3 linked regions of the Caenorhabditis elegans genome follow. The protein of the gene in region 3 interacts with the protein of the main gene of each other region in a pairwise test. Each region holds a gene or a part of one and is shown on either strand. Other genes may lie near its edges.

Region 1 (5,757 bases), on a different chromosome or scaffold from region 3:
CCAATCGTTTGACCTGTTCGATAAATTCAACAGGTACTGCAAAAAGAGATTGAAAGTTTGCGAGGAGGACAGCGGTTATCAGCATTCCTTGTTGCTTTCGGCATTTACTACAAACACCTGTCCAGAGTCCGATGATTGCCTGAAATCGAAAATTTAAAATTGATATTACGCAGACGCAAAAGTTCGCGACAAAAGTACGGTACCGGTCTCGAGGCGACAAATTTTTCTTTTGTCGAATGAAACGAATGAAGATTTCTGCAGAATTTTAATTGTTGAAATATAGGTGTTAATTTTGTAGTGCTAAATTGATAAATATTTTTTTTTATCAAATAACTAATTAAAATCCATAAAAATTCGGCAGAAATGAGAGTTTGAAATTACAGTACTCCTTGAGGGCGCACACATTTTCTTATCTAACAAAAAGTTGTCGTGTCGAGACCGGTTACAGTAGTTTTCTTGCAAAATTATCCCCTCCTTACCGCTTCCCGATTGTTGGAAGATCCGTTAGAAGGATCAGCGAGGTCGAAAACTGCATTCGTTTCGATCGATTGAATGAATGTAACAAATTTGTGAAGTTTCCGACGTCGTGAAGTTGGAAGCGAAAGAAGTACCAATTGAATTGCTTCGATCAACCATTGCTCTCGGATTTCGTAGGATTTTTCGTCTGAAATTATAATTTTAAGTAAAAATCGTGAAACTGTAATAAAAATAAAATTCTTTACCTTGTATTTCCAAATTCACTCTATTATCAAATGGTGATAACGCACGTCGTCGATACTTTGAAGCTCGAATTCCGCATGCTGGAAGATCACGGGAGAATCCATCGACCATCAATCCAGCCTCCTCAATACTAGACGCAGACGAAGAAATCATCACTTTCGACCATCGCCTTGCAGGCCCATTGTCAAGCATTGCCGCGAAGCTATCGATTTTGCAGAGGAGATTAACAATAAGAGAGCATTCATCGAATTGAAGAGGAGCATTCAAGTCTTCGAGACGATTGACTAGAGTTATGAAAATCCGATTGACGTTGTATTCCAACCCTGTGTCCATTTTTTTATGCGTGACGAAGGGATATCGAACAAGATAATCCATGAATTGAATAACAGTTTGGGGATAATCGGGCTGCAGTCCCTGACATCTCGATTTGACGATTCCATCAGCATGATCTATTTCAATCATGTTCCACTGAATATCGTATCCATCGACTTTAGATGCCCATTCACAGGGAAGAGTGCGATCGTAAATTTGTTCCAATCGTCCAAGCAGCTCTGTTTTCCAAAATGAGCATTCGTTGTTTGCCTGGACAGAGTCTGCAACTGGAACAACCGACGATCTTCTCATGATGGATTCGTACATTCTTCCACGCGATAACAATGCTGGATTTGATCCTGCGATGCTTGTCCGATGATTTTGATATCTGCTAGGAACTGCAGGCAACGGTCCTTGTGGATGCATAAAGACGACGTCTTTCGGGGCTTCTCGAATTGGCGGAGTGGTTACTTTCTGACTACGAAGAGCAGCTTCAGCTTTTTCTTGTTCCAAAACACAATGATTTCGATCAAGGGATGCTGAACGACGGGTTGGTTGATTGACTTTCGTGTGATTTCGTCTTGATTTGAAAAACGGTAACCAATCATAAACCTTCTCTTTCATCTCAGAAACTTCTCGTTTTTCAGTATATTCTTCTGTACAGATACTTTCAAGTGATCTGTTCAAAATCTTCGGAGTTCGTTGTTTCTTCGGGATTTCATCGTCTTTATGATCATCGAAACCGTGATTCTCAACGCCGCCTGAAGAATTATCGATGCCTGCTTTGTCAATGTTGCCATTAGATCGCGATAATCTTCGTGGGAGCCTTGCCTTTGGTGGCCGGTGCATTGTCGCGGCAGGAGAGGCAGGTTGAGCAACTCTGGAAATATATTTTATAGCACAGTTTAAAATGATTATTTGGCATACTTTGCACTTTTGCGAGCACCACTGAAAGACGCTGATCGACGTGATCGGGGCTTGGGATGCTTCAACTCATCCAAAGTCTTCATGAACAAATATATTCTCGATTCACTGAATGGCCTCCTTTGCTTGACTTTCTTCGGGAAGGCTTCTGAAATCACGTTCATGTCCATCATGAACTCCAGGAACTTCTGCATCTTGTCTCGTTCCGGAACATTGTTAGGGATGATTCGTGGCATTTCAATCATCAGAAAATCCACAGCTTCTTTCCCGCTGAAACTGTTTTCCGCAGTGGCCAATCCTCTTCTGTTCGTTTTGAGTGATAAGTTTGAACGAAAATGCCATAGAATTTCGTCGAACTGAAAATCAGAATAAAATTTCAAAAGACAAATGTGAAACATTTTAATACCAGATGCGTCGCCTTGAACTTCTCCGATGAGTAGTCGGCAGACATCACGGCAAGACGGCCTAAAACTTGAATTTTGATGGTTTATTGATAAATTTAAGAACTTCTTAAAAGAAAACGAGATTTCATCACGAAAAAAAGCAAGAATGAGGAAAAATTTCTGGAAACTTCCTAAAAATTGCTGAAACGAGTGAAGTTTTGGCGCCGAAGTTTTGTTTACGGACCAAACACACGAAAACACGACTTGTCACACAACTTATTAGCTACAGTAACCCATTCTGCTTTGAAAATTTCTCTTTTTAATTAAAAATTCCTCGATTCAGATGTTTTTTTTTTCTCAAAGTGTTTCTAATAATTATATTTTCCTCGAAATCCACACTATTTTACATAAAACAAATCATCTTATTCTGCTCTTTTCGCCGTTTACACCATCTGTCCTTCTCCAATGACTCCTTCTCTGCGTCTCTTTCACTCTCTCGCCGCCCTCTTTTTCTCTGTCGTCTCTCACTTCGACGTACTTTCTCTCGTGTTGTTGTTCCCGTACTTTTGTGTGTTCCACTGTTTGTGAGATGACGGCTAGTTGCCTGGTACTGGATTCTCACCAGTTTTAATTGATTTTTCATCAAATTTTCTTTAAAAACTGATTAAACTTTGTGATTTTTATCGTATTTTTACAGATTTTCAGTTCAAAATGTCCGATGAGAAGTCTACCACACCAACCGCTCAACTCGACGCTCCAGCCGATGGAAATATGAATGATTTGACGTCGTTGGTACGTAAATACTTGAAAAAAATTGTCAATTTTCTAAAAAATCCTAAAACTCAGATACAAGGAGTTCTGCAACAGACACAGGATCGATTCCAGCACATGTCGGATCAGATTATTCGGCGAATCGATGATATGACAACGAGAATCGATGATTTGGAGAAGAATATCAACGATTTGCTGCAATCGAACCAAGTTGAACATCCGCCAAGCGCTCAATAAGATTGGTACGGAATGAGAAAAATGGGAAACATTCTCAAAAATTTCGGTCGATGTTTTGACCACTCGTTATTTTTGAAAAACAGTGTTGTTTTTGATGTCGACTTTGAAATTTCAAAAAAAAACAATAATATGGGCCGTGGGACCCAATTAGAAATACAGTAAAAAACGCTCTTTGGCCGAATATTTTATAATTTTCATGTATGAAGTCAATCCTTTTATTCCTTCTTAACTTTAGTTTGAAATATATTTAGATTTCCTAGCGCCTTTCCAATCGATTTACCACGTGGTAATCAGGCCGATTGCACCGTTATTCCAAGACTTTATCATTAAAAATTAGTATAAAAATATAGAACTTCACCTATTAATTTTGGCTGAAAAATTCGCCGAAGAGCTCAAAAATGGTCTGAAAGATGCCAAATTTCCACTAAAAAATCAATTTGTAGAGATTATTAATAACTAATCTCTCTTCAATTTCTATTTTTTCCAGCTCTACACTCTTCCCAAATGAATCATCGTCGCTTCCTTCTTCATCATCATCATAATTCCAATTCGTTTTGTGTGCTTCTCTGCGTCTCTCCTACATACATATACTCTTTTCACGTCTTCTTCTTCTTCTTTTTCTACTGATTATGCACGTGTTGAGAGGATTCATGACTACTATGTTGTGCCTCCTGCTTTTAATCTCTTATTCAATAACTTTTGTTGCATTTTATTACGATTTTCGGAATTATTTTATTTATATGTGAAAACACAAATTTTGCCAAAAATTCAAATTTTTGTGCATTTTTAAAAAAAATTTTCAATATGAAACTATTCATCTTACTTTTTCTTCTTCTTCCCTTGAATTTTTTCTCATACTAAATGTTGATTTCTCACAGTTTTTACTAACTATTTCGCATCCGGATTTTCAGATAAAAAACATATAATTTCAGAAATGGGAGCTCAAAATTCGAAGCGAAAAGATCTAAAAAATATTAACGATGAGGATTATGCACATTTTATGGAAAAACTCAAAAAACACACAGATGGAAAGGACAAAATGACGCGAGACCAGTTTGTGGTGAATTAATTTTTAGAAGGAAAATACATTTTAATATAAAATTTTCAAATTCCAGGCAATGTTCATACCGATTCTGGGTGAATATTCATCACAATTCTACTTTCGTTTGGTAAAAAACGAGCCGCAGGGCGTTTTGCTCGCTAAAACAATCCTAAAATGTATTGATACTGGACTGGGACATTTCGATCAGCTCGCCGATATGCTCAGATTCTGTTTTGGAGATCAAAAAGATCAGGTTTCGAATTTATTAATTTAAAGAAAAACTTCTTTTTTTTTTGTCAGATAATGCGAAATGTTGTGAAAATCTTCTGTGAAGGAAACAAATTCACCCGAGAGGATCAGGTCCGTCTCTACGATTATTTCGAAACAGAAAATACAAAACCAGTGAGCGAACTGGAAAGCTTTTTCTCAATGTGCCCACTGTTCGCCTATTGTGCTTCGTTCATTTTCCAACGACTTTTGGATAAAACTGGAGACTCGAAAATGCCAATTCTCTCGGACAAGACTCATTTAATGGGAAATATCGATCAATTAGTGCTCAACTCGCACCTTCCATTCGATCGACGCAAAAATTGGACACTTTTATATTCAAACATGAAACACGGGCAAAGTTTCTCACAATTGGTTAAATGTATTAATGGAGAAGGTCCTTGTATGATTGTGATCAGATCAATGAAAGGACGACGATTTGGGTTTTTCGCCTCGCAAGGTACACAAGAAATGTTGTGTCGATTTACGCAGCTCGTGTACTCCTCGAGAAGAATTTATACCTTATGATTTGCAGAAGATTTTACAGATTTTACTTTTTTTGCAGATTTTCTAGATTTCAGATCTTTCTTTTTGTAGACTGAAACCGAGAAATTGTAGTTTTACAATAGCAAATACATTTTCAAAAATGCTATAAATTATAGATAAATTGATGATTCCAGTTTTAAATATCAAAAAAATTGACAAACAGTTTCAAAAATTGAACATTTCATCCAAAAACTGTAAAATCTTCCTCCACGAGGAATACACGAACTGCGTAAATCCACACATGGCTGTGTTACAAGTTTCGCAGTAATTCTTCATTTTTTCAATTATGATAAAGCAACGGAATTCTAGCAGATACTATTTGAGTACCAATTTTCTCTAAAAATTGAAAATTTTTTAGGTTTTCTCGCGGGACCCCAATACCGTGGCACGGCCGAGTGTTTCCTCTTCCAGCTGGCTCCGAAAATTGCAACTTTTGATGCGACCGGGCGGACTGAGAATTACGTGTACCTAAACTACCAGCAACAGCAACATCCGAATGGATTGGTGAGTATATCCCGCCATGGATCATTCAGTATCTAGAGAACCAGTTTTACG
Region 2 (9,298 bases), on a different chromosome or scaffold from region 3:
TGCAAAAAATTATTGATTTTTCGGATTTTTAGGAAAAAAAAGATTTTCTCGGTGATTTTTAATGAAAAATTGCATTTTCGAGCAGTTTCATTACGAAATTCGTTCATTTGAGCCCATTCTCCTTCAATTTAGTCGGGTTTTCTCTCAAAAAACGCCGATTTTCCATCTAAAAACTGACAATTTCAAGTGTTGCAGCAGCTTCACACACAGCTTGAAGCTCCTGAGTTTCATCTCTTAAATGAGGCTGTAAAGCCCGTATTGTGTCAACGCATAGGGATGCTCGTGAGTATTTTCCGCCGATTACAGTGTTGTCGAATAGCTGAAAATTTGGGAATTTTTGATGGAAAATACTGGATTTTTCGCCAAAAACTGACCAAAATCGTGAAAAATTGGCTTTTTTTTGGAAAATTTACTGCTTTTAGTGCAAAAAATACAGAATTTCTCTGGAAAACTGCTTTTTCCTCCGGTTTTCGGCGTATTTTTTGCTGATTTTAGTGAATTTTCAGCAGAAAATACGGAAAAATGTGCAGGAAATTCGGTATTTGGAGTCAAGTTTTGACTTTTTCTCCACTTTTTCTCCTTTTTTGGTTTTTTAGCAGAAAATTTTGAATTTTTTGATGGAAAAAACTGGATTTTTAGTTAGAAAATCAAACAAAAACTTTTTCTGCTGGTTTTAGTGCATTTTCTGCGGCGAAAAATATGAAATTTTCAACAGGAAATTCGAAATTTGGAGTGAATTTTTGACTTTTTCTCCACTTTTTTCTAGTTTTAGTGTGAAAAGTGCCATTTTTCCACGCATTTTAACCGAGAAAATCGTCTTTTCCGTACATTTCTACATCTATACTGAACCAAATCGTATTCCATTCCATCAGCAGGCAATTTTGCCGCCACAACCCGTACGAATTTCTTCTTAACTTCGCCCAACGCCGTTTCTACCAGCTTTCTACTGGCGAACATTGCTGCTGAAAATACGAGAAAATTAGAGGGAAAAATGGCAAAAAAAACTAGAGAAAATGAAAATTTAGAGCCGTTGCATCATTATTATGAAATTTCAAGCTGAAAAACCGGTTTTTGAGCAAATTTTCGCCCAATTTCGAATTTTTCAGCTGAAAACTGAGCTAAAATGAGCCAAAAAACACGATTTTCAATTGAAATTTCGAGAAAAAAAAAGCTAAAAATTGAATTTTCGAATAATTTGGGAATTTTGGAGCTCCGATGCGTAGAAAACAAATTTTTGCATGAAAAATTGCAATTTTCTGCGAAAAATCAAGAGTTTTCCAGGAAATATGTCCAAATTCCGCTGAAAATTTAAATATTTTCGTAAATTCGAGAGAAATGATGCAAATTTCATAAAAATGTGCTCCAAATTGGAAATTTCACGTTTTTTTTCCGGAAAAATCGATTTTTCACCAAAAATTGAAAATTTTAAGCGAAAATTGAAGTTTTCCTACATTTCAAAGGTTTAAATTGATTTAAATTGAAAAAAAATCGAATAAAAATTGGAAAAACTGATGAATCATAAAATTGCGAAATAATAATGAGGGGGCAGGCGACCACTTGGAAATTTAAATTTACAATTCTGGAGGGGCAAAAAATGAGAAAAATCAGTTCATTTGAAACAGGAAAGCGGAAAAAATTTTAAAAATTTTTGAATAAATAAATTAAAGCAAGGCAGTATTTACACAAGAAAATTCGAAAAAGTGTGCGTCGATTTACGCAGCTCGTGTAGTCCCCGAGGAGAAGATTTTACAGTTTTTTGGCTTAAAAATGCTTGATTTTCGCTATTTTTCTATCAAAATTAACATTTAAACCGGTTATTTATAGCGTTTTAAGTGAAATTTGAGCGATTTTAAAGTTTTCACCGACAAAAAAAAACCGTGAAAATAGCGAAAATGGCTCAAAATCAACCATTTTAGCAAAAAAAAGTACTTGATTTTGAGCCATTTTCGCAATGTTCACGGTTTTTTTTTTGGCAAAAATCAATGAATTATTTTTATTTTTAACTTTAAAAACACTCAGATTTCACTTAAAAGTGCATAAATAACCGCTTTGAATGTTAATTTTCAAGTAAAAATAGCGAAAATCAAGAATTTCAGCGAAAAATCGTTTTTTTTTTCACCGAAAAAATCAGTAAAAATGCAAAAATGGGTAATAATGCTTGATTTAGAGCTATTTTCACGGGTTTTTCGCTTAAAAATCACCGCTTTGAATGTTAATTTTCAAGGAAAAAATAGCGAAAATCAAGCATTTTTAGCCAAAATCTGTAGAATCTTCTCCTCGAGGAGTACACGAGATCTGCGTAAATCGACACAAAAGAGAGCAATTAATCATCCCATTCATCATCATCAGCTCCTTCTTCACTACTTGAATCATCATTTCCCATAACTTGATCCATTCGTCTCTTCAATATCGCCGCAACATTATTCGCCTCGAGAGCAGCATTCTCGGCGGCTTCTGCCTCGGCTCTTTGCACTTTTTTCAGCTTTATTCCAGATTGAATTTGAGCCAAAAGATCACTTCGAGCATCTGGTTGTTTTGGAGCAACTGGGGAATTTGTGCCAGCAGCTTCACCGTCCGCGGATGGCTGAAAATTTCAGTTTTAGTGGGAGAAAATCGATTTTTTGATGAAAATTCGGCTATTTCTCTTGAAATTTGTCCCTAAAAAAGCTTCAAAAAAGTCCAAAAAACACAGGAAAACTACACATTTTCAGCGGGTTAGACACACATAGAGCCCTGCTGTTCCAGCGCCTTTACCTTTGGAGCCGGAGCTGCAAATGACGCTGCAGCCGAGCTTATAACCATTGGAGGTGGTGGTGGAGGTGGTGGAGGGATCTGAAAGGGATCGAGAATTGAAGAAAGAAGCGGAAAGTGGACAACAATGAGGGAAACACAAAAATGGACAAAAATTGCAAATTTTTAACTGAAAAATTCGGGGTTTTAAGCTTGGAAATTGCAGAAATATAGCTTCAAATTAATTTTATGCACTACAAGAAATCTTGGAGCTTTTCACAAATTTCCAAGCTTTTCCAAGCTGTTTCAAGCTTTTTAAGCTCATCGAAGATATTTCAAGCTCAGTCAGGCTTTTTTAGCTTTTCCAGGCTTTCGCAAGCTTTTTCGAGCTCGTCTAAGCTTTTTGACGCCTTTTCCAAGCTCTTTCAGGCTTTACAAGCTGTTTCAAGCTCGCACGAGCATTTTGAAGTTTTTCCAGGCTTTTTTAAGCTCTGTAAGCTTTTCGAAGCCACTATCGTTCTCTTTCAAGCTGTTTCAAGCTGTTTAAGCTCATCGAAGCTATTTCAAGCTCAGTCAGGCTTTTTCAAGCTTTGTCAAGCTTGTTCAAGCTCCTCCAAGCTTTTTCAAGGCGTTTCCAAGCTTTTTCAGGCTTTTCCCAACTCTTTCAGGCTTGCTCAAGCTTGGTCAAGCTTGTTCAAGCTCCTCCAAGCTTTTCCAGGTTTTTCCAGGCTTTTTCAAACTATTATAAGCTCGTTAAGCTCATTCAAGCTATTTCAAGCTCTGTCAGGCTTTTCCAAGCCTTTTCAAGCTATTACAAGTTCGTTTAAGCTCTACAAGCTTTTCCAGGCTTTTTCTTGCTCTTTCAAGCTTTTCCAAGCTTGTTCAAGCTTTCTTAAGCGTTTTGGAATCTTTTCCTGTCTTTTGCAGGCCTTTTCAAGCCTTTTCCAGGGTTTTCCAAACGTTTTCAAGCCATTTCAAGGTTCTCCAAGCTTGTTCACTATTTTTTCAAGCTCTTTAAGCTTCTCCAAGCTAGTTCAAGCTCTGTCAGGCTTTCCAAACTTGTTCAAGCTTTATCGTTCTCTTTCAAGTTCTTCCAAGCTAGTTCAAGCTCTGTCAGGCTTTTCCAAGCTTTTCCAAACGGTTTCAAGCCGTTTCAAGCCTTTCTAATAGAGTTCAACCAATTTTTCGTGATTTCGTGGCCCAAATGAACAAATTAAAGCGAAAAAGCGAGATTTTGCCTGAAAAAGGCTTAAGGCTTCTAAACGCTCATAATAACTTAGAATAATAGAGACTTTTCACATTTTCTAGTTTTTTCAAGCTTTTCCAAGCTTTTTCGTCGTGAAAACGGACAATTTAAAGCAAAAACGCAAGCTTTTTTCCTCGCAAAAACCAAGATTTTACTCCAAAATCTCCAAATTCTCTCGAGCTCCAAAACGTACATTAGTCGGCGGAGCAGCACTCGGCTCGACAAACTGTATCGTCGACGGAGCTTCTGCTGGTAACTGATGTACAATTGATGTATTCATGAGAAGCGGTGGTGGTGGTGGTGGAAGATCATCATCATCATCATCAATCGATAAAATTGACATATCCGGTGGTGGGAGGTGATCCAGATTCACTGGCGGCGGAGCTTCAGTCGGACGTTTAACATTCGGAGATCCACGAGCTGCTGCTGGAGCACCACCTCGTTGTTGGCTCGGATGCACATTTTGTTGAGGATGATGGTGCATTGTCATTCCGATTGGGGCAACCATGTTGGAGGGGTGCTGAATTTATCAAAAATTGGGAGATTTTCAGTGGAAAAAATCGTTTTTTTCTTCAAAATTACTCCCAGAGAAGGATATTTGGGCTTAATTATCGATTTTTCAGAGTTTTTTTGTCATTTGGAGCATGAAATTTCTTAAAAATTCACTGAAAACTTCCAAAAAACTCGAGTTTTCAGCCTCAAAGACAAGCCAAAATCAATGAAAAACGTTTTTCAACAGAAATGTTTCACTTTTTCACTAAAAATATGCTGAAATTGATAAGTTTTTTTGGAAAAATCCCTAGAAACCGTACAAATTAATTATAAAAACCCTATAAAATCGAATTTTTCAACGAAATCCTCTAGAATCCATAACTTTTCAGCTTCAAAATTATTTGTTCCCATTGAAACTTTCGACTTTATAGGATTTTTATAGTTAATTTGTAGGGTTTCTAGCGATTTTTCCAAAAAAAAAATTATCAATTTTCGCATATTTTTAATGAAAAAGTGGCACTTTTCTGTTGAAAAATTATTTTTTCTAAGGAATTTCCCACTAATTTCATTGATTTTCGCTTGTTTTTCGGTGAAAACTCGGCTTTTTGGAAGTTTCTAGTGAATTTTTATGAAATTTCAAGCCCCAAATGGCTAAAAAACCCAAATATTGGCCCAAAATAGAGAATTTTTGCCTTCTCGGGGAGCACAAGAGCTGTGTAAGCGCTGAAATCTCGTTGAAAAGTTGATTTTCTTTTTAAACAATAGAAAATTCACTTTTTCAGCAAAAAACTCGATTTTTTTTCAAATTTTTGGGCTCAATTATCGATTTTTTCCGATTTTCAACGGTAAAAAATCATTTGAAGCGGAAAAGCTGGGACTTCGTTGAAAAATTCGATTTCATAGTTTTTTTGAAGTTAATTTGTAGGGTTTCTAGCGATTTTTCCAAAAACTTATCAATCTTCGCAGATTTTAATGAAAAAGTGACTTTTTCTCATTGATTTTGGCTTGTTTTTTGGCGAAAAAGTGCATTTTTAGGAAATTTCATGCTCCAAATTACTGGAAACCCATAATTTTGCCCCAAAATAGAACATTTTGGCCTGCTCGGGGAGCACAAGAGCTGTGTAAGCGCTGAAATCTCGTTGAAAAGTTGATTTTCTTTTTAAACAATAGAAAATTCACTTTTTCAGCAAAAAACTCGATTTTTTTCAAATTTTTGGGCTCAATTATCGATTTTTTCCGATTTTCAACGGTTTGGAGATTTTCTCTTCAAAAAATCGAAAAATCTCGCGAAAATCTACCTGATTTTTAAAGTTAAGCTGAAGCCCGAGAGCCTGCGGAGCCTGATATTCCTCCGGGAACGAGAAAACTTCATTCTGCTGATTAATCCGTGATCCACTAATCTGTCGATTCCTATGCTGCATATCATTATAGGCCGTCGTGCCGAGAGGGCCTTGTCCAGGCTGCTTCCGCCGCTTTTTCGGGCTTTTACTCCCGTCGTTCGGGCTTTTTACCCGTCTGGGCCGTTCGGCAACCTCTTTTAGTGTCTCCTTTTTCCATAAATCGAAGAAAAACGAGGGATTTGTGTAGAGAGAGAGCGCAGGGATTTCAGAGTCTCTATACGGATTTAGAGCATCAAGATCCGGCGGTGGATCACATTTTGCATATATTTCAGTCAATGCTGTAGGTAAAGTGCTTCTATCCAGAATATGTTGATCTACAAGCATTGAACTTTTGAATGCTTTTCGCATATTCGCTTCATTCAACGTTGCTTGATCGGAATTTGAATCCAAATCTTCAACTTTCTTGTGCAATCTATCAATTCTCTGTTGAAGAGTGTTCGATTTGTGATTTATTATCATTGCGTCGTGATAAATCTCTCCGAAGATGTTCTCAGCGTGCTTACTGCAAAAAAAAATCGATAAAATTCCAGTTTTCCGACCTAATTTCCCACCTCAACGAGCTCAATTGTCGTACTAAATTGGCGATTGTCCCATTAGCAGTACATTGAAGCTCATCACGATGGATTGTTGATGGAATTGTGCCTCTGCTGAGGTTTACCGGTGATACCGCCCGTTTTGTTAGAGGCATTGCTGAAAATGTGCAGAAATTGCGGGATTATGTGGGTGGAAATTGCGAGAAAGCGTTAGAATTCACAGAAGATGACTTGAAATCGAAAAAAAATCACTTTCTTCCCTGAATAATATGTAAAAATCCATGGATTTAATGGAAATTGGCACGAAAATCGTGAAAAAAATTAGTTAAACATAAAAATTCACTGGAAACTTCATAAAAGCGAGCAGCCAAAATCAATGAAATTAGTTGGAAAATTCCACGAAAAACTCTAATGTTAATGGTAAACACGAAAATGCACTGGAAAAATTATAAAATTGAGTTTTTTAAACAGAAAAGCCACTTTTTTAATAAAATTATGCTGAAATTGGTAACTTTACCGGGAAAAATCGCTAGAAAACATATAAAATTGCTTCATTTACATGCTAAACCCACAAATTCACTGAAAAACTTATAAAACCTAATTTTCCAACGAAATATCATAAAATACATAGTTTTTCAGCTTCAAAATTATTATTTCTGTCAGAAAATGTTTTTTTTCATCGGAAAAACTGCAAAAAACGAGGAAAAACCAATAAAATCTCATGTTTTTCAATTAAAATATCATTAATCCAGAAATGCGCCAAGGTGCACCCGGGATGCGTCAGCAAACACTCACGAGAAGTGCGCAAGCGAGCGTCTGCACTCTCTCGAATACATACAGTGTCTCGCTGTGATTCATCGGAAATATTTTCATTTCCGGAAATGTTTTATATTTATTTAAATATTAATTTTTTTCGGTCTAAAAAATGATATACAAAACAAAAAATCGATACAGGAAAATGCGAAAATAGAATGAGATTGAAATTTCAATATTTACTGTTCAAAATATTCAAAATATCGTGAAATGGCGAGGTTTCGGAGAGATGGTCCTTTTTATTTATCAATGAAATTGTTCTAATTCTGAGAAAAATAACAAAATATAGCTAAATTCTCAATTTTCGCCAACTTGGTTGTGTCACAGAAGCTAAAATTCATTTCGAATACCGAGCCCGTACAGTAGTCATTTAAAGAATTACTGTAGTTTTCGCTACGAGGTATATTTCGCGTCAAATTTGTTACGTAATAAGCATTTCACTTTCCCAACAATTGCCGATTTCTTCTCCAAAATATCCCTCCCGTAAACCTACACAAAATCGACCGTAGTGCGGCACGTTCGCTGCGAGACCCGCCGCGCGTTTGGCCTCAATCTTTTTAGGACTGCCAAATTCGATCGAACATTTTTAGTCTGTCTTCCACGCGGAAACACACTCGTTTTTCTTCAAAAAAAAATCTATCATGGCTTCCCAAGGATTCTCCGTCTACGGTAAGTATAGTAATAAATCGGTGGTGAAAATTAAATTTAAATTTGTACAAATTTTGAATATGATACAAAATTCTCAAAACTTCTGAAACTTTCTCACACTTTTCTTCGATGAACTTTTCTTCGACTTGCAGAAAGTATCGATTTCTGATAATTGTTAGCGTTTTCCGATCGGCCTTCGTTCTCTATGGTTCATTCGTGTTCCTTGACAACAAATCCCGATATTTCAGGTAGTCCCCTTCCACGTGTATAAGTATAACTGAGTCTACTAACTGAGTACCCGGGACCCCACACGGATCGCCACACAATTCTGGAAATGGAGACGCCGTTCGACCACAAAAAGTATGGGTGAAGAGACTTTTCGCACTGTCATGGTCTCCGTAGTCTAGGACTAGGATAGGGTGCATTTGCTCTGTAACAGTGCATTGTGAGAGTTTGTAACTTTCTATATATAGGCCAAAACCTACTATTACCCCCGTTTTGCTAATCGATTTTTTTCTAGTTGGAAACGTTCCATACCAAGGAACTGAGGAGGAGATCGGAAACTACTTCGCCGCCGTCGGACATGTTAACAACGTCAGGTAAGAGAACTCAGAAACTCAGAAACTCGGAAACTTTCGATTAAAACCTTGTCAAAACTAATCAATGTCTTCCAGAATCGTGTACGATCGTGAAACCGGACGCCCACGCGGTTTCGCATTCGTCGAGTTCTCCGAGGAAGCCGGAGCTCAAAGAGCCGTCGAACAACTTAACGGAGTTGCCTTCAATGGACGCAACCTTCGTGTCAACTACGCCAACAAGTAAACTGACAACGCCGCCGAGTGACTCAAAGAGATTGCACTTGTGATATACATTCCACCAAAAATTCTATCTTCGTGCATGTTTTTCACCATCTACACTTAAATAATAAATCTTTTTGAAAACTGAAAACTTCGAGCATTTTTTCACAGAGTGCAGGTTTACGGCTCAGTCTTAGGCTTAGGCTTAGGCTTAAGCATAGGCTGGGGCTCAGGCTTCGGCTTTTAGACCTAAAAAAAGATCGTTGCACCATGAGCAAAGTATTATAAAGAAAATTGACTTCAAAGAAACTGACACGTGGTGTCAAAGTGTCCCATTTTGGTTTGATCTTCGAAAAATGAGGGAAAAGAGACGCAGACTTTTCAACTGACGTCACACTTTCCTGGGGAGAAAATTCCCGCATTTTTTGTAGATCAAACCGCAATGAGACAGCCTGACTCCACAGATCCCATCTGAAAACTCATGAATTTAAATAATGATGCATACTTTTACTCTGTTCTGGCTTTGCATCACTTTGAGAGCCTTTTCAAGCTTTTCAGATAAATATTTCCTTGATTGTGCTTGCCTACGAGCCTACGTGCATACACAGAGATTTCGTTCGTACTTTTCTGATTACATCT
Region 3 (2,868 bases):
TTTTCCATTTATTTTAAACGTTTCCGATTAAAAATACATAAAATTATTGATTACAGGATAAGGAAACTTCGGAGAAAGCCATCGTATGTCGTTCGTCCCATCAGAAGTTCGACTTGATCACACATTTTTAGAGTGGGACAAAGAGTGGATATTCCAGCGTCTGCCAAAGGTTTGTGACAAGCTTTTCGAATAATTAAAGTGTAAAACCCGTAAGTATTGAAATTAAAATTATTCATTTTTAGACCGAGATTCAAATTCCGCGCGAGTTTGAGCCAGATATCGAAACCGACGCAATTCCCACCATTGCTCGTCAGCCCGCCGACCCAAACACTACCTGGAACGAGACTGGTTTGGATCAAATTCAAATGGGACCAACCATCAATAGTACAAAAAATTAAATCAAGGTTTGTGAAAGTTGATGTAATTTTTTAACTTCTTACACAAATTTTCAGATGGGAAACGAACAAAGCTCGTCAACAGCGGGCACATCATCTAATCCTCAAAATCAACAGTCGTCTTTTTCATTTCTCACTCGAGCCAGTACTAAACGATCAAAAGGCATTATCACGGTCAAAGATGGCAATATTCCTCAAGAAAAACTCGAAGATGATGAAATTTACAAAAGATTCACCGAAATTCCCCGTTTTTTGCCGGTGATTCCAGCCGTAATAGGCAAACGAGATCCACAAACGAATCAAGGAGCTTCTTACACTCATCAAAAAATCAGTTCGCGGCCCTTTTTTCGGTAAGATTTATTCCTTTTATTCAAAGTTTTAAAGTCACATATTCAGACTAGCAACACGATTACAAGAACATTTTGCCGTTAATGCGAAAGCAGTGGCAGCAGATCAAGCTAAAATTCCAGCAACTTGCAAGAGTGTTGAAGCGAAAATGATCAGACTTATTGAAGAAACAAGAGCTCATAAAGAACAACATGACGGTTTTATGGCTGCATTGAGCGGACTTAATCAATTGCACGATGACATCTGTAGTATTCAGGTGCGAATTAGAAAAAGAAACAATATTTAATGCATCATACCAAAATTGATTTTTAAAATGTTGCACCTTACATTTTTGCTCAAAAAACTTGCTCCGTTTATCAAAAATTAATTTTCAGATAATTCTTGAAGATATTGTGCCAATGGTTGAAACGCTTAATGAAATTCTAACTCCCGACGAACGTCTTCCTCCTCTTAATCTTGGCTCAGTGCTCGACAGATCTCCCGTTCCAAGCAGTGATAGCTCACTTCAAAGTACGCCCCGCCATAATCAAAATATTGGTCATATTGATCAAATTGAGCCGATTGAAGAAATCCGCGTAGTTGATCTACCAAAATAATTAATTTGTAAATTTTTATTCTCTTCTTGAATCTGTTGCCCTATCGCCCTTCCCAAAAAGTCTTGAAGGCTTTATCTCACTTTCTTCTCGCAATATCAAAATTCCATTGCCGTTTTGTGATTTTTTATTTAGTTCATGCACATATTTATCCGTCAATCCTATTTTGATTTCTAAATTTATCATAAATTCTAGTATTTTTCGCAAATTAATCTAATTAATTTACTTTGAATCTAACTTATATGGTTTGTGCCTTTTTCATATTTCCATTTCTTGTAATTAATTGCATCATTAATTAATTTTTAGATCACCAGCAATGAATGCGAGCTCCAGAACCAAACCTGCAATCGATTTGAACAAGGTAATATCTTAAAATCTCATCATAAAACTTTAAAGCTAAATTTTTTAAGGTTCCTCCGATCGATCATCACCGTACAGCAGTAACATTCAACTGTCTCATCATGAAAATGACAGAAATGCTCAATAATTTCGGAAATAAAATGGAAGACATTTTGGAAAAGGCAGAGCAGAGTTTAGACACTGCCGATCGAAAGTTACGCTTGATGGAATCGAAATTGGCAGGAATGAGTTTGGAGGATAAATCAACCACCGCCACACCATCATCAGCACCAGAAATAGACGAAATTCACGAATCGAATCCCAGCTCTTCACAAATCGTGGAGGAAACAGTGGAAGAGAAACCAGAAGAACATACTACGACGGTTCTTATCAAAGACGACCCGGCTTATAGTAAATATTTCAAAATGCTGAAATTGGTGAGTTTATCCACTTGAAATTGCTTTAATAATACTGTAATTTTTTTTAGGGAGTGCTTGAAGCTGGTGTAATACAGAAAATGAAATCCGAAGGCGTCGACCCATCAATTTTGAAACGCGGTGATGAACCATCTCGTCCACAGGCACAGACTTCACGGAATTATGAATCTTCTGGAGAATCTACGGCATCCTTCTCTGACTCTGATTAATTTATTTTTTGTATATTTTTACGGGTTCATAAAATGTATAAAACATTATTTTTTAATTTTCGGAATATGATGTACTACACTGTTAACTCGTTTTAACGATTATGATATACTTCTATTCATTTTTTTAAAATTGATATAATATACATACTAATTTCCCTTTCAGACAAAATGAAATCACATTCAAATGTAACTACGCCACAAGCAGAACTTGTGAGCCCAGCCATGGGTGAACTACTCAAAAATGCCATCATGAAATCTGTAAGTTATTAAATTAATATCACATGGAAACTTTATTTGAAATTTAGGCTCCTGTCGCTCTTGCACTTATGAAAGGTGAACGTCCTGGGAAGAAAAAGAAAAATAAAAGGGAAAAACAAGGTGAGCGACCGTTCGAATAAATGATTAGACTATCGGCAGTTTTTCAGAAGATGACGTGGAAGTTACACCAAAGTCGAAAGAGAAACGTCGGAAAAGCGAGAAGAAGGAAAAACCTCCAATTTTGAATTATTTGGACGATTCAGATTCTGATTCGGCAGATTTTTCATCA

Evidence for each region. The genes of interacting proteins can lie anywhere in the genome.
Region 1: the proteins of ddl-1 (region 3) and hsb-1 interact in a two-hybrid assay, tested with the Caenorhabditis elegans proteins (2 studies listed by BioGRID).
Region 2: the proteins of ddl-1 (region 3) and wve-1 interact in a two-hybrid assay, tested with the Caenorhabditis elegans proteins (2 studies listed by BioGRID).

Annotation. Positions count from the first base shown.
Region 1 is NC_003282.8:12,564,506-12,570,262, reverse strand, and holds hsb-1 (Heat shock factor-binding protein 1), read left to right. Parts: upstream 1-3,036; 5' UTR 3,037-3,050; coding exon 3,051-3,131; intron 3,132-3,185; coding exon 3,186-3,347; 3' UTR 3,348-3,352; intron 3,353-3,834; 3' UTR 3,835-4,168; downstream 4,169-5,757. Other genes in the region: Protein let-99, read right to left, coding at 1-139, 480-664, 723-1,912, 1,960-2,312, 2,363-2,407; eak-7 (MTOR-associated protein MEAK7), read left to right, coding at 4,282-4,407, 4,463-4,642, 4,690-5,116, 5,561-5,706.
Region 2 is NC_003279.8:11,922,952-11,932,249, forward strand, and holds wve-1 (Wiskott-Aldrich syndrome protein family member), read right to left. Parts: upstream 6,566-9,298; 5' UTR 6,557-6,565; coding exon 6,420-6,556; intron 6,371-6,419; coding exon 5,767-6,370; intron 4,497-5,766; coding exon 4,170-4,496; intron 2,833-4,169; coding exon 2,755-2,832; intron 2,585-2,754; coding exon 2,324-2,584; 3' UTR 1,590-2,323; downstream 1-1,589. Other genes in the region: fdps-1 (Farnesyl pyrophosphate synthase), read right to left, coding at 179-319, 829-957; R06C1.4 (RRM domain-containing protein), read left to right, coding at 7,856-7,883, 8,383-8,461, 8,537-8,684.
Region 3 is NC_003280.10:5,646,659-5,649,526, reverse strand, and holds ddl-1 (WASH complex subunit homolog 3), read left to right. Parts: upstream 1-1,642; 5' UTR 1,643-1,652; coding exon 1,653-1,697; intron 1,698-1,746; coding exon 1,747-2,112; intron 2,113-2,162; coding exon 2,163-2,321; 3' UTR 2,322-2,368; downstream 2,369-2,868. Other genes in the region: F59E12.17 (Anaphase-promoting complex subunit 13), read left to right, coding at 86-169, 243-398; sam-4 (BLOC-1-related complex subunit 5), read left to right, coding at 453-745, 792-999, 1,118-1,339; F59E12.9 (TFIIS central domain-containing protein), read left to right, coding at 2,490-2,579, 2,627-2,699, 2,747-2,868. UniProt on the Caenorhabditis elegans protein: Acts as a component of the WASH core complex that functions as a nucleation-promoting factor (NPF) at the surface of endosomes, where it recruits and activates the Arp2/3 complex to induce actin polymerization, playing a key role in the fission of tubules that serve as transport intermediates during endosome sorting.